Anolis sagrei: one gene and its partner. The protein of the gene in region 1 purifies or fractionates together with the protein of each later gene. This does not show direct contact. Links are inferred from orthologs where the notes say so. Each region holds a gene or a part of one and is shown on either strand. Other genes may lie near its edges.

Region 1 (7,736 bases):
AATAGTAAATGTAATAATAAAGTAATAAATGCAATAATAATAAAATATAATAAATGTAATAATAATCATAATAATAGAGTAAAATACTGTAAATGTAATAAAATACATAAAATAAAAATACTAATAACAGAATAAAAGAATAAATAGCCTTGACTCGAGTATAAGCAGAGGGGAGCTTTTTCAGCCTAAAAAAAGGGCTGAAAACTAGGCTTATATACAGTATTAGACATATTTTGTTTTAAGGAGACAATGGATCAAATGCAAAATAACCATTTGACACAGTGCATGCAGCATGAATCACAGAGCTTCTCAAAAACAAAGCAATTCTCAAACAAAGGGTTTTTTTAGAATAAGTTCTGAAAATGACTCAAGTCCTGGCTACCTAGTATGCATAGCATCCCCTAGTAATTATATTCCAAATGCATGATAGACTTTCAAGATTTGAAGGATACTATCAAGGATCAGACAACACTGGACTTGTCTGACTGTTTCTTGCTAGAAAAACATATCATTCAATAGTGAATGTGTACAGAGCAAAAATTTGTGTCTGTATTCATTTACTAAAAGGAAAATGCACTGACATCCAGTTCAATTGCAAACAAAGATAGTCTTCATCACAGCTGGCGACTACAAGTGTGATGTATTTAGAGCACAAACAACAACTCTGTGATCATGCAGATACCGCTCGATTACGACATGCAATGTTGAGAGATGATGGAAGTTGTAGTCATGGTATAAGGAGGATTTCTCAATCTTTGAGCTAAATGCAAATATCACAGCACCTGGGAGGCCTCATGCTCCCCGTTTCACATGGAGCACAGATGACACTAAAAACTGCTGTCCTACATTGAGTTGTGCCCCTCTCCTCATCATGTATTCTCCATCTCCCATGACATTACACCAAGCATTTAACTCCATATGCTAAAAATTGTACTGCAATTTAAAGTCTCCTCAGAAAATGTATACAAAGATGGGAGAAGCATTAAATATAGGTTAACTTGAAGAAAACAACATAACAGTTCTTCTGAAAAATAAATTTTACATAACTTGTGTGATGTTTCCACTCAGCATCATGTGTGTCAAACTGGGTGGCTTATTCAGCTATATCAGAAAGTTGTACCAAGTTACTGGCTATAAGAGTGTTGGAATCATAATCTAGGACCTTTAGAGATAAGCACATTGTGAAGGACTAATCTAACTACATATCCAATTTCTTAGAATATATTTGAGGATGGATGCGTTGTCAAAGGATGGATATTATCAGGATATATAGTAATATATACTGACATTGTACTATGCTAATAATATAATATATTGTATGAAAATATACATTCTAAGCCGCTCTGAGCCCCTTCAGGGTGAGAAGGGCGGCATATAAATGCCGTAAATAAATAAATAAATATTCTGAACACTTGCTGTTCACATATGGAGATAAGGAACTAAAACTTGGGTGAAACAAGGAGATTTCAAGAAATACTTAATAAAAGGGATAGTACTAAAATAATTTCACTGCTGATAATATTGCTCACCTAAAGACACATAATTAAGTAGCCTGATATCACATGGAGCAACGAGGTAAAAACCCAGGGACTGTATATAGAAAAGCTGCTGTGTGACGCAAGGTTCAAGCTTTCACAATTTACTGTTGACACAAGGAATACAAACTTGGGGTGACACAATAATAATAATAATAATAATAATAATAATCTGGAAAAGCTGACACAATATGAGGATTTAAACATCGAACTGCAAAGACTCTGGCACAAGCCAGTCAAGGTGGTCCTAGTGGTGATCGGCACACTGGGTGCAGTGCCTAAAGACCTTGGCCTGCACTTAAACACAATCGGCGCTGACAAGATTACCATCTGCCAGCTGCAGAAGGCCACCTTACTGGGATCTGCATGCATCATTCACCGATACATCACACAGTCCTAAACACTTGGGAATTGTCCGATGTGTAATCCAATACAACAGCCAGCAAAGTGATCTTGTCTGCTGTGGACTCATCTTGTTGTGTTTCAAATAATAATAATAAACTTTATTTATACCCCGCCACCATCTCCCCAATGGGGACTCGGGGCGGCTTACATGAGGCCAAGCCCAACAGAACATTACAATAAAATAAAACCAGAATACAGAACAATCAACACAGTAAACTAAATAAAACATGAGAATACAATAAACAATAATTTCAAGTAATACCTAATAAACTACCAGTACCAGAATCCTACTGCTGTTAATAATACAAACAGGTTAAATCAGATCTTGTTCTTACCTTCTGCTACATCATCATCCACAGCCCCTTTCACCTGAGAAAAACACCACTGAATGTCATTCCCGCCGCCACCGGCTCCTAGAAACAAAACAAAAGTTAAATAAAAGCTGGGCAACACCCTGGTTATTAAGCTTGACTGCACAATGTTAGCATTCCAGTCTGATACCCAGCGATTGTTGGCAAGGATAGGAAATGTAAAGGGAGCACCCACCACGCCCACAAAGGCGAAGAGTATTTCCAAAGCAGAAAGTTACTTGCAAGCTCTTCTTATTGTCCCTCAACACAGCCCACAACATTTTTGTCACTAGGGATGTGTCCAAATGAACACAGTCGCAATCAGTTTCTCTACAAAGACAGGTCACAACTACTCAACTTCATAAGCTGTCACACTCTGAAGATACACAACACACAATGCATGACTGCTCTTCTTACAAACCAAACTTTCTCTCACACACAAACTTTGGAACTTTACTTCTAAGTTACTAGAATCAGGAGTGAAGCAGCATAAGGGAACATTTTTTTAATTTGTTGACAACTTCATTTCTGCCATTTACAGAAAGTAGAACAAGAATAAAACTTAAGATTGTTGTTATAAAAGAAATCTATAATTCTGAAACTTGAAGAAGTCACCTCAGTTACAAATAAACTTGAAACTACCGTAAAAGATGGACCGGAGAGAAAGCTTCAAGAACATTCCTGCCCCGGCAGAAGGAAGGCGGTGAATCATTTGAACCTTCCACCCAAACATGCCAAAGACACGCCACCCATTTCTTGGACATGTCATTCGGAGCAAGTCATTGGGTAAGGCTCGTGGAGGAAGCTGAAAGGCAGTTATCAAAATGGAGCTTTCCCTGAATATTTCCCCTGAAAACGAAGATGTGTGTGTGTGCGTGTGTGTGAAAACAGCTGCGTAACCGTGGCATCTTGACCAAGGGGATGGAGCAAGAGAGGGAGGAGTTCCTCCCTTCCTTAAAAAAAACAACAACAGCAACAATCAAGCAACTTAAGAAAAAGTTCAAGCCAGAAGGGGAAGAGTGGTCACTCCATCGCCACACAGCCATCAGAGCACAGGAAAAGCGCAAACAATCCACAAGTGTTCTATTTCCATCTTCCTTTGTTACTTTGTGAAAAGAAAACGTTGCTCCCTATTTGGGCACCACGCTGAACTGGAAAAAAGGTATTTTACTTTGTAATTATAGTTCAATACACTGATTCAAAACAACCTTGCCGAAGAGGTAAACAAGGCCTCCTGAAGATTACAGTGTGTTTTCTATACATTTCAAATTCTTTTCTTCTTTTTTTTTTAGGGGGGGGTTTAAGACTGCATTTATACCAGGCATGGGCAAACTACCAGCTGTTAGGAATTGTGGGAGCTGCAGTCCTAAATACCCAGAGACCCAAAGTTTGCCAAGGCTTGATCTACACCAGGGGTCTTCAAACTTTTTAAAGAGAGGGTCAGGTCACAGTCGCTCAAACTCTTGGAGGGCTGGATTATAATTTGGAAAAAAAATTCCTATGCACACTGCACATATCTTATTTGTAGTGTAAAAACACTTAAAATAATACAATAATTAAAATGAAGAACGATTTTAACAAATATAAATGTATTAGTATTTCAATGGGAAATGTGGGCTTGCTTAAACTCTTGGAGGGCCAGATTATAATTTGGAAAAAAATGAATAAATTCCTATGCACACAGCACATATCTTATTTGTAGTGCAAAAACACTAAAAATAATACAATAATGAAAATGAAGAACGATTTTAACAAATATAAACTTATTAGTATTTCAATGGGAAATGTGGGCCTGCTTTTGTTGATTAGATAGGATTGTTGTTGTGTGCTTTCAAGTTGTTTCAGACTTAGGTTGACCCTGAGCGAGGGATGGATAAATGAACTTTGAGGGCTGTATCCGGCCCCCAAGTCATAGTTTGAGGATCCCTGATCTACACTATAAATTGCATCTACACTATTGATATTAGGTTCTTGTGGGTTTTTTCGGGCTATAGGGCCATGTTCTAGAGGCATTTCTCCTGTTTCGCCTGCGTCTATGGCAAGCATCCTCAGAGGTAGTGAGGATGCTTGCCATAGATGCAGGCAAAACATCAGGAGAAATGCCTCTAGAACATGGCCCTATAGCCCGAAAAAACCCACAAGAACCTAGTGATTCCAGCCATGAAAGCCTTCGACAATACTATTGATATTGTACTATGCTAATAATACAATATATTGCATGTATATATATCTTGTAAGCCGCTCTGAGTTCCCTTCGGAGTGAGAAGGGTGGCATATAAATGTCGTAAATAAATAAAAAATAAGCACATTGCAAACTGAATGTAGTTCAACAGCACTTGGACTACCATTGCTCTTTGCAATGGGATACTGGGAGTTAAAATTTTGAAAGGTCCTAAGCTTTGGGTTGCTGTGAGTTTTCCAGGCTTTATGGCCATGTTCCAGAAGCATTCTCTCCTGACATTTCACCCACATCTATGTCACGCATCCTCAGAGGTTGTGAAGTATATTGGAAACTATATTATAATAATAAATTTTATTTATACCCCGCCAACCATCTCCCCAATGGGTACTCGGAGCGGCTTACATGGGGCCAAGCCCGGACAACATGTTACAGCAAAATAAAACTAGAACAGAAATTATATTAGAAACTAAGGGGAAGAGGGGGAAAATGACAAAATACTAATTATAAAGAAATAAAGTATGTATAAGTAGATAAAAGGTGTGTGGTAGAGGTATACATAGTATAAGGTGTATGGAAAGTTTTAAAAAGATAAGAAATATGTTTAAAGATGTTTTTGATTCTTTTTTACTGTTAGATTGTATATAATATGACATACTCTTCTGTCTACGATGTTGTAAAAAGTGGGAAGAATGTATGCTTATGCATTTTGTTTGATAAATTTATAAATAAAAATTTTAAAAACTTCACAAAAAAAAAAAGAAACACAACCTCTGACGATGCCTGCCATAGATGTGGGCGAAACGTCAGGAGAGAATGTTTCTGGAACATGGCCTTACAGCCCGAAAAACTCACAGCAACCTAGTGATTCAAGCCATGAAAGCCTTCGACAATGCGTCCTGAGCTTTCTCTGCCAGAGTACTACACAAAATTATTACAACTCCCAGGATTTCGTAGCAATAGGCTGTGGCAGTCACAATGGTGTCAAACTGTGTTAATTTGACAGTTTAGATGCACTCATGGAAAACGGTTAGGGTGGTTTTGGACTAAGGACACTGGGAAAGCCGAGTCTGAATCTCCATTCAGTTGTGGAAAACAATTTTAGGTAAGCCACACTCTCTCAGCCTCAGAAGAAGCCACTCTGAATAAATGCAGGCAAATCCCATTGACGGATTTGCCTGCAGGAGAAAAATAACTCATGCAGAAAACGCGGGGTTTCTTTGGCAGTACTCACAACCTCCCTCCATTCAAAGCTTTCTTGGTGGAAAGATTGGAGACAAACACAAACCTCAACACAAACCTCAACACAAACCTCAACACAAACCTCAACACAATCTGGCCCATGTTGCCAGATTCTGAATCTTTGTGTTTGTGAACAGATTGCAAGGTAGAGAGGAAACTGAAGAAGGGTTTGCAGAAGGGTGGATCTTTTGCATTTTCAAACCATGCAAGCTCAACAAGCTGCAATTTCCTCACAGGTCTCAATCTCTCTGTGAGAAATCCTCCAGATGTTGTGTTGCATGGAAATGATGAACCCGGGTCAGCCATTCATACATGCTGCCCAATCTAAAACTCATTTTTTGCACCCAAAGCTATTACATGTCTTGTAAATCAACAAGCTGCAATTTCCACACAGGTTTTATTCTGTCTGTAAGAAACCACCAGCATGGAAACGATGGACCCAGGTCAGCCATTCACACATACATCCCAATCCAAAACCCGCACTTTGCAGCCAAAACTGTCAAGTGTCTTGCAAATCAACAAGCTGCAATTTCCACACAGCTTTCAATCTCTCTGTAAGAAACCCCCAGATTGCATGGGAATTATGGACCCAGGTCAGCCATTCACACATGCAGCCCAATCTAAAACTCGCTTTTTGCAGCCAAAGTTGTGAGTGTCTTGCAAATCAACGAGCTGCAATTCCCACATAGGTTTCAATCTCTCTGTAAGACATGCCCAGGTTGCATGGAAATGATGGACCCAGGTCAGACATTCACACATGCAGCCCAATCTAAAACTCGCTTTTTGCAGCCAAAGTTGTGAGTGTCTTGCAAATCAACGAGCTGCAATTCCCACATAGGTTTCAATCTCTCTGTAAGACATGCCCAGGTTGCATGGAAATGATGGACCCAGGTCAGCCATTCACACATCTAAAACTCGCTTTTTGCAGCCAAAGCTCTTAGTGTCTTGCAAATCAACAAGCTGCAATTTCCACAAAGCTTTCAATCTCTCTGTAAGAAACACTCCAGGATATGCCATGTTGCATGGAAATGTTGAACCCAAGTTAGGCATTCACACATGCAGCTCAATCAAAAACTCGCTTTTTGCAGCGAAATCTGTTAGTGCCTTGCAAATCAACAAGCTGCAATTTCCACACAGGTTTTAATCTGTAAGAAACCCTCCAGGATTTGAAATGATGGAAATGATGAACCCAGGTCAGCCATTCACACATGCAACCCAAGGTAAAACTCGCTTTTTGCAGCCAAACCTATTAGTGTCTTGCAAATCAACAAGCTGTAATTTCCAAACAGCTTTCAATCTCTTTGTAAGAAATACTCCAGGATATGCCATGTTGCATGGAAATGCTGAACCCAGGTTAGGCATTCACACATACAGGTTAATCTAAAACTCGCTTTTTGCAGCAAAAGCTGATGGTGTCTGGCAAATCAACAAGCTGCAATTTCCACACAACTTTCAATCTCTCTGTAAGAAACAGGTTGCATGGAAATGATGAACCCAGGTCAGCCATTCACACATGCAGCCCAATCTAAAACTTGCTTTTTGCAGCCAAAGCTATTAAGTGTCTTGCAAATCAACAAACTGAAATTTCCACACAGCATTCAATCTCTCTGTAAACAAAAACCCAGGTTGCATGGAAATGATGAACCCAGGTCAGGCATTCACACATGCAACCTAATCTAAAAGTCTTTGTAGCCAAAACTGTTAAGTATCTCGCAAATCAACAAGCTGCAATTTCCACACAGCTTTCAATCCCTCTGCAAGAAACTCCCCAGGTTGCATGGAAATGATGGACCTGGATCAGCCACTCACACATGCTGTTAAGTATCGTGCAAATCAACAAGCTGCAATTTCCACACAGATTTCAATCTCTCTGTAAGAAACTCCCCATGTTGCATGGAAATGATGGACCTGGATCAGCCACTCACACATGCTGTTAAGTATCTTGCAAATCAACAAGATACAATCTAAGTCTTTGTAGCCAAAACTGTTAAGTATCTCGCAAATCAACAAGCTGCAATTTCCACA
Region 2 (7,363 bases), on another chromosome or scaffold:
AGATAGAGATAGTGAAATTCCACAAGTGCAGGTGGAGACTCCTTTTGGTTCCGAGTGAACCGGCCCAGCTGGGCCAAGATAAGCAGTTGTATAGCCTTGAAGATAATGGTGAATTAATGAGCAGACAGGATCGTTTGCAATTAAGGCTTTGCAGAAACACATGCCTTGCCAGCAAGAAGGAAGCCAAAGGTCAACGCAATGCTTTCATGTCAGGTAAACTTATTTAACGATGTAGCTGACAGGCATTTCTTGTCAGCCCAATGTTGCTTCTTACCCATTAACTTCTGTGGAATTACCTTGGCTTTTGCGGAACACCTCTGGCTCCTTTGAGACTTGATTCTGATCCTGATTTTACCTGTTTGCCATGGACTCTTGTTTGACATTGCTAAGGGATTATGCTTCATGCTATTTGCCTGTGGATCTTGTGAAGCTTGTCTTTGCATTTAAGACTCTGTTTTGCCTATTGAATTTTTGCATATTTATTTCTCTGTTTTGATTTTGCTTTTTCTCAATAAACTACAAAACCTACAGCTTTGGTGTATGGTGGTGTCTTGAGCAAGGTGAAAACTACCCTAAGTTGCGACAGTTGTACTGTATTTTTTGGGCTTGACCTCATGTTAGCCACCATGAGTCCCCATTGGGGAGATGGTGGGGGGTATAAATAAAGATGATGATGATGATTATTATTATTATTATGGTGTATTGGGCATCGAGTCATTGCCTCTGTAAACCGCCCTGAGTCGCCTGAGGGCTGAGAAGGGCGGTATACAAAGACAGCAAATAAATAAACAAATAACACAGTCCCGAACTGATTTTTACATGCTCCCAACAGGTTTAATCTCCAATTTGAGAGAAAAACTGAATGAGTGTGCCACGAAATGATGCAGGTCTAAAACGTGTGTCACCAACATGAAATGTTTGGAAATCTCTGCTTTATGGGATTGATTGAATGAAGCTGTAGTGTGAGTTTGGAAATATTGTAACAGCACCCCATTGATGGCCAATACATACTGAAATACTGTATCTTTTGGTGTTTACAGATTCCCCTTTTTCTCCTTTCTTCCCTTCTTTCTATCGCGTTGAGCTTGTTTGCCTTTCCTGGGTGCTTAGATAGAAATCTCTGGCCGTTTCCTCCTGCCTTTCTGTTTCCAGTTTTTGAACCTCCTCTTCCCTTCCCAAAGAAAGCTGCAAGTCAGGAGCTGCAAGGCTGCTGCCTCCCGCTGCCTTTCTCTCCTCTTTTCTCCTTGTCGCCTGGAGCAAACCTGCCTTTCCCCTCCTCCCTCCTGATCAGAAAAGGCAGCCAGCCAACTCTGGAAAGCGCCCAAGGCCTTTCAAGCCAAGCTCAGCAGAAGAAGCAGCCAAAGGATTGGCAAAGGTGCAAGAACAGGCCAGGCAAGCTGGAAGGGAAAGGGAGAAGAAGAGAAGAAATGCAGCAGAACCACCCAAGAACAGCGGAAGGAAAGTTGCTCCTAACTGCCATCAAGTCACCTTCGACTTATGGCAAGCTTATGAATGAGACCTCCATGTCCCCAAATCATAGTATCATAGTTGGAAGAGACTTCGAGGGCCATCAAGTCCAACCCCCTGCCAAGAAGCAGGAAAAAAAATTAAAATTTTTATTAAGAGTTTTCTACATGGGGGATACATCCATGTTATGAGAATCGTCGACACAACAATTACGTAAAAGCAAATGATAAGGATTGGGGTGGGGGAGGGGGTAGAGGTGAGTGAAGGGAGTACAGGGAGTAGGAAATGGGTCGGGGAGAGTTCGTGATCTTAATTACTGATTTTGCCCCATATAACATTGTTAGTGTTAGTATTATTTTCTAGTCTTGACTCTCACATGTCTAGGTCTGGTTGACATTGAAGTATTTTTTGATTGGAGACCAATCTGTCCTGGCTATGCCAGTCGTCTGTTTATATTCCAGGTGCTGTGTTAGAGTGTCCATATTTATTATGTCTAGGAGTTTAAACATCCATTCTTCCACCGTTGGTTTCTCTTTATTCTTCCATTTTCTTGCTAGTACAATTCTTGCAGCCATTGCCATATGGAAGAATTTGTTGTTGTTCATTCATTCAGTCATCTCCGACTCTTCGTGACCTCATGGACCAGCCCACGCCAGAGCTCCCTGTCGGCCGTCACCACCACCAGCTTCTTCAAGGTCAGTTCAGTCTCTTCAAGGATGCCATCCATCCATCTTGCCCTTGGTCGGCCCCTCTTCCTTTTACCTTCCACTTTCCCCAGCATAATTGTCTTCTCCAGGCTTTGCTATCTCCTCATGATGTGGCCAAAGTACTTCAACTTTGTCTCTAGTATCCTTCCTTCCAGTGAGCAGCCGGGCTTTATTTCCTGGAGGATGGACTGGTTGGATCTTCTCGCAGTCCAAGGCACTCTCAGAGCTTTCCTCCAACACCACAGCTCAAAAGCATCTTCCTTCGCTCAGCCTTCCCTAAGGTCCAGCTCTCACATCCGTAGGTTACTACAGGGAATACCATGGCTTTGACTAGACGGATCTTTGTTGCCAGTCTGATGTCTCTACTCTTTACTATTTTATTGAGACTGGACATTGCTCTCCTCCCAAGAAGTAAGCGTCTTCTGATTTCCTGGCCACAGTCTGCATTTGCAGTAATCTTTGCACCTAGAAATACAAAGTCTGTCACGGCCTCCACATTTTCTCCCTCTATTTTCCAGTTGTCAATCATTCTTGTTGCCATGATCTTGGTTTTTTTGACGTTTAGCTGCAACCCAGCTTTTGTGCTTTCTTCTTTCACCTTGATTAGAAGGCTCTTCAGCTCCTCCTCGCTTTCGGCCATCAGAGTGGTGTCATCTGCATATCTGAGGTTGTTAATGTTTCTTCCAGCAATTTTCACCCCAGCTTTGCATTCATCCAGCCCCGCACATCGCATGATGTGTTCTGCATACAAGTTAAAAAGGTTGGGTGAGAGTATGCAGCCTTGCCGTACGCCTTTCCCAATCTTGAACCAGTCTGTTGTTCCGTGGTCAGTTCTGACTGTTGCTACTTGGTCCTTGTACAGATTCCTCAGGAGAGAGACAAGGTGGCTTGGTATGCCCATCCCACCAAGAACTTGCCACAATTTATTATGATCCACACAGTCAAAGGCTTTAGAGTAGTCAATGAAGCAGAAATAGAGTTATGTATACTTTTGTATAATTGTTAATTGCTATGCTATGTATTACCTTGAGTGACATTACTTTATTTATCGTGTCATCAGCAACCATACCATTGTATTACAATTCTAACAGAGCAAAACAAACACACAGATTAAAAAGAAAAAGAAAAAAACACACAGATTTTGCAAACTTGGTAGTTGGTTAAATGTCCTTTGACCAGGATCTGGCCACTTGGAGTGCCTCTGGTGTTGCCGCAAGAAGGTCCTCCATTGTGCATATGGCAGGGCTCAGGGTGCATTGCAGCAGGTGGTCAGTGGTTTGCTCTTCTCCGCACTCGCATGACGAGGTTTCCACCCTGTAGCCCCATTTCTTAAGATTGGCTCTGCATCTCGTGGTGCCAGAGCGCAGTCTGTTCAGTGCCTTCCAAGTCACCCAGTCTTCTGAGTGCCCAGGGGGGAGTCTCTCATCTGGTATCACCCATGAATTGAGGTGCTGAGTTTGGGCCTGCCACTTTTGGACTCTCGCTTGCTGGGGTGTTCCAGCGAGTGTCTCTGTAGATCTAAGAAAACTATGTCTTGATTTAAGTCGTTGACATTACTGGCAGAATATAATAATATGTGTTAACAACAATAATAATGTTTCAAAATCCATTAAAACAGAAACAATGAGTGGAGAATACTATAATTAAAACAAACAAACCATCTGGTCCACGAGCAAAGCTAAAGCATTAGGTAACCATGCAAAACGTATGGGTTTCAATGGCTTCTCTGTGTAGTTTATATGTGTAGTTTCAATGGCTTCTCTGTGTAGTTTATAGTTTCTCATAAGCTTTGGCAGGCATTTGAAACTTGCCTTTCCTGGCGCCAGCCACTTACAGCGAAGGGGCGGGGCTAATCCAGCAACCGCCAATAGGAAGCCGAGAGCGGAGCAATGAATGGCGGGAGGGGCTAGTAACCATAGCAACTCTGAAGGCACATTCGATCACAGAGAGAAAACCCCTCCTTTCCTTGCCCACCAATAGGAAGCGAAGGTTCAGTCCCTCCTCCAATGAAAAGAGAGAGAGGGATGAGGGGCGTGGCCACAGGCGGCAGCGGGCTCCTTTGTGGAGTGTGACAATGAGGTGGCGGGGAGGGGCGCGCGAGTGAGCGGAGGGGGCGTGGCCTCTGCGGCCGTTGGCCCCGCCCCTTTTCTCTCAGGCGCGGAGGAGAGCGTTGAGGCGAGCGGGCGGGCGAGCGAGCGCCGTGGCTTCGTCCGGGCGGAAGGTAAGCCCATCGGGGCCGCGGGCGCGCCAGGGAGCGGAGGGGGCCTTTCCGGCGTGACGCTCGGAAGCTAGGCCTCGGCGTGGCGGCAGGGAAGCCGCGGCGGAGCCCTCCGAAGAAGAGGAGCCCGCCAAGGGTCACTGGGCCGCGGCTCCAAAATGGCGGCGGAGGAGGAGCAGGCTCTGGAGTATCACACAGGCCCACGCTGAAGCCTCTCTTTTCAGAAGGAAGTGGATCAGGAGCGAGCCAGGAGGGGCTTTGTAGTCTTTGAAAGCCACATTTTACAGCAGGCCTGGGCAAACTTGGTCCCTCCTTCCAGGTGTTTTGGACTACAACTCCCACAATTCCTAACAGCCTCAGGTCCTTTCCTTTACCCCCTCAGCCGCTTATGGAAGCAAACTTAACCAATTTGAACAAATAATACAGAATGGAAGGGTTGTAGAAGAGCATGAAAATTTGAGAGAAAGAACTAGGTCAGTGTTTCTCAACCTGGGGGTCGCGAGGGGGTGTCAGAGGGGTCACCAAAGACCATAAGAAAACACAGTATTTTCTGATGGTCATGGGGATTCCATGTGGGAAGTTTGAGCCAATTCTATCGTTGGTGGAGTTCAGAATGTTCTTTGATTGTAATGAACTATAAATCCCAGCAACTACAACTCCCAAATGTCAAGATCTATTTCCCCCAGACGCCACCAGTGTTCACATTTGGGCATATTGAGTATTCGTGCCAAGTTTGGTCCAGATCCACCAATGCATGAGTCCACACTGCTCTCTGGATATAGGTGAACTACAACTCCCAAACTCAAGGTCAATGACCATCAAACCCTTCCAGTGTTTTCCATTGGTCATGGGAGCCAAGTTTGGTTCAAATCCATTGCTGGTGGAGTTCAGAATGCTCTTTGATAAGTGAACTATAAATCCCAGCAACTACAACTCCCAAATTACAAAATCAATCCTCCTCCAACCCCACTAGCATTCACATTTGAGTGTATTGGGTATTTGTGCCCAGTTTGGTCCAGTGAATGAAAATGCATCCTGCATATCAGATATTTACATTATATATTTACATTATATTATAACTGTAGTAAAATGACTGTTATGAAGTAGCAATGAAAACAATATTATGGTTGGGGGTCACCACCACATGAGGGACTGTATTAAGGGGTCACGGCATTAGGAAGGTTGAGAACCACTGAACTAGTAAAATATATAAGATCATAATTGAAATAAAGGAAGGAAACACAAAAAACAACACCCTCAAAGAGGTTTGGGAAGAAGATTTAGGGATAAAAATAAACGAAACAGAGTGGCAACAATTATGGAGACAAAGACATTTAAAAGAATTATCAATACGGGTTCAAGAAAATTATTATAATAAGCTAATATGGAAGTGGTATCTTGACACCAGTAAAAATAGAATATATAAATAAAAGTAATTCAAAAATTGTTGGAGAGGATGTCAAGAACCAGGAACATACATACATATGTGGTAGCAATGTAAATATGTAAGTAATGTTTGGGAGAAAGTATTTAGAGAAATAAGAGAGATAATGTATATGAAAATTGAGAAAAGTCCTAGTATAGCTTTATTATCATTATATAACAATAAACAATTGAAAAAGGAGGATAAAGAAGTGATAACAAACTTATTAACAATAGCAAGACTGCTCATAGCAAGGAACTGGAAAAAAGAAATAAATATACAAATAGAGGAGTGGTACAAGGAAGCATGGAAACTGGCAATAAACGATAAGCTGACATGTATATTAAAAGTTAAAAAAAGGTATATGGAAAAAAAGTGATTTTGATGTTGTATGGGGAAAATTTGTTGTAAATGGTTTAAAAAATTTACCGCCACAAGAAGAAATGAGATTTTGGACAAATGATATGTAAAAGTTGTGGCTTGAGTTGGGGGGAGGGAAGCACAGTGGTGGGAAAAAAAGGGGGGAAATGCTTAAGCAGAATAAGACTATATGTTAAAGAGTGTGCTGAATAATATGTAACTGCTATAAACAAATGTATAACAAATGTAATAACTATGATAAAACAATAAAAATATATTTTTTTTAAAAAAGGAATTGTGGGAGTTGAAGTCCAAAACACCTGGAGGGAGGGACCAAGTTTGTCCAGGCCCTTTATACAGTCTTTAATGGGTTTTAGGGAATTTCAACAAATAATAATAATATATATACACATACTTCTATTTAAAACTAGCCATCCCCTGCCATATATATATATGGATGCTCTGTGCATAATGAGTACCTTAAAAACAAAAGAACCAATGAACAAAATCACATCAAAATTGGCAACAAAACATCTTGCAACACAAGGAGTGCCCATCACTCAAAAAATTATGATTTTGTCATTTGGGAGTTGTACTTGCTGGGATTTATAGTTCACATACAATCAAAGAGCGTTCTGAACTCCACCAATGATGGAATTTAACCAAATGTGGCACACAGAACTCCCATGACCAACAGAAAACACTAGAAGGATTTGGTGGGCATTGACCTTGAGTTTGGGAGTTGTAGTTCATCTATATCCAGAGAGCACAGTGGACTCAAACAATGATGGGTATGGACCAAACTTGGCACGAATATTCCATATGCCCAAATACGAACACAGATGAGGTTTGGGGAAAATAGACCTTGACATTTGGGAGTTGTATTTAGTGGGATTTATAGTTCATCTACAATCAAAGAGCATTCTGAACGCCACCAATGATAGAATTGGGGCAAACTTCCCACACAGAACCCCCATGGCCAACAGAAAATACTTAAGGCCAACCAGTCCAGCTGTCTTCACCAGGGCAAGAAAATGTAATCAAAGCCCTTCTGACAAAGAGCCACCAATCCATAGATATAGATAGATAGATAGATAAATATGAGACGCACACACATAGTATCATAGATTTGAAAGGGACCCCTAAAGAAGGACAATTATATGTTGCATGTTCCAGAGTAGGCAAACC

What was found. Proteins that work in one complex are often made in the same cells at the same time.
Region 2: the proteins of PPP2R2A (region 1) and CDCA4 purify together in Homo sapiens (affinity purification with mass spectrometry; 4 studies listed by BioGRID and IntAct, with this or other methods). This does not show direct contact. The link is inferred for Anolis sagrei from reciprocal best matches to the Homo sapiens genes PPP2R2A and CDCA4.

The regions. Positions count from the first base shown.
Region 1 is NC_090027.1:6,823,486-6,831,221, reverse strand, and holds the start of PPP2R2A (serine/threonine-protein phosphatase 2A 55 kDa regulatory subunit B alpha isoform), read right to left. Parts: upstream 3,075-7,736; 5' UTR 3,060-3,074; coding exon 2,933-3,059; intron 2,354-2,932; coding exon 2,276-2,353; intron 1-2,275. UniProt on the Homo sapiens protein: Substrate-recognition subunit of protein phosphatase 2A (PP2A) that plays a key role in cell cycle by controlling mitosis entry and exit. Involved in chromosome clustering during late mitosis by mediating dephosphorylation of MKI67.
Region 2 is NC_090021.1:328,645,892-328,653,254, reverse strand, and holds the start of CDCA4 (cell division cycle-associated protein 4), read left to right. Parts: upstream 1-4,290; 5' UTR 4,291-4,395; intron 4,396-7,363. UniProt on the Homo sapiens protein: May participate in the regulation of cell proliferation through the E2F/RB pathway. May be involved in molecular regulation of hematopoietic stem cells and progenitor cell lineage commitment and differentiation.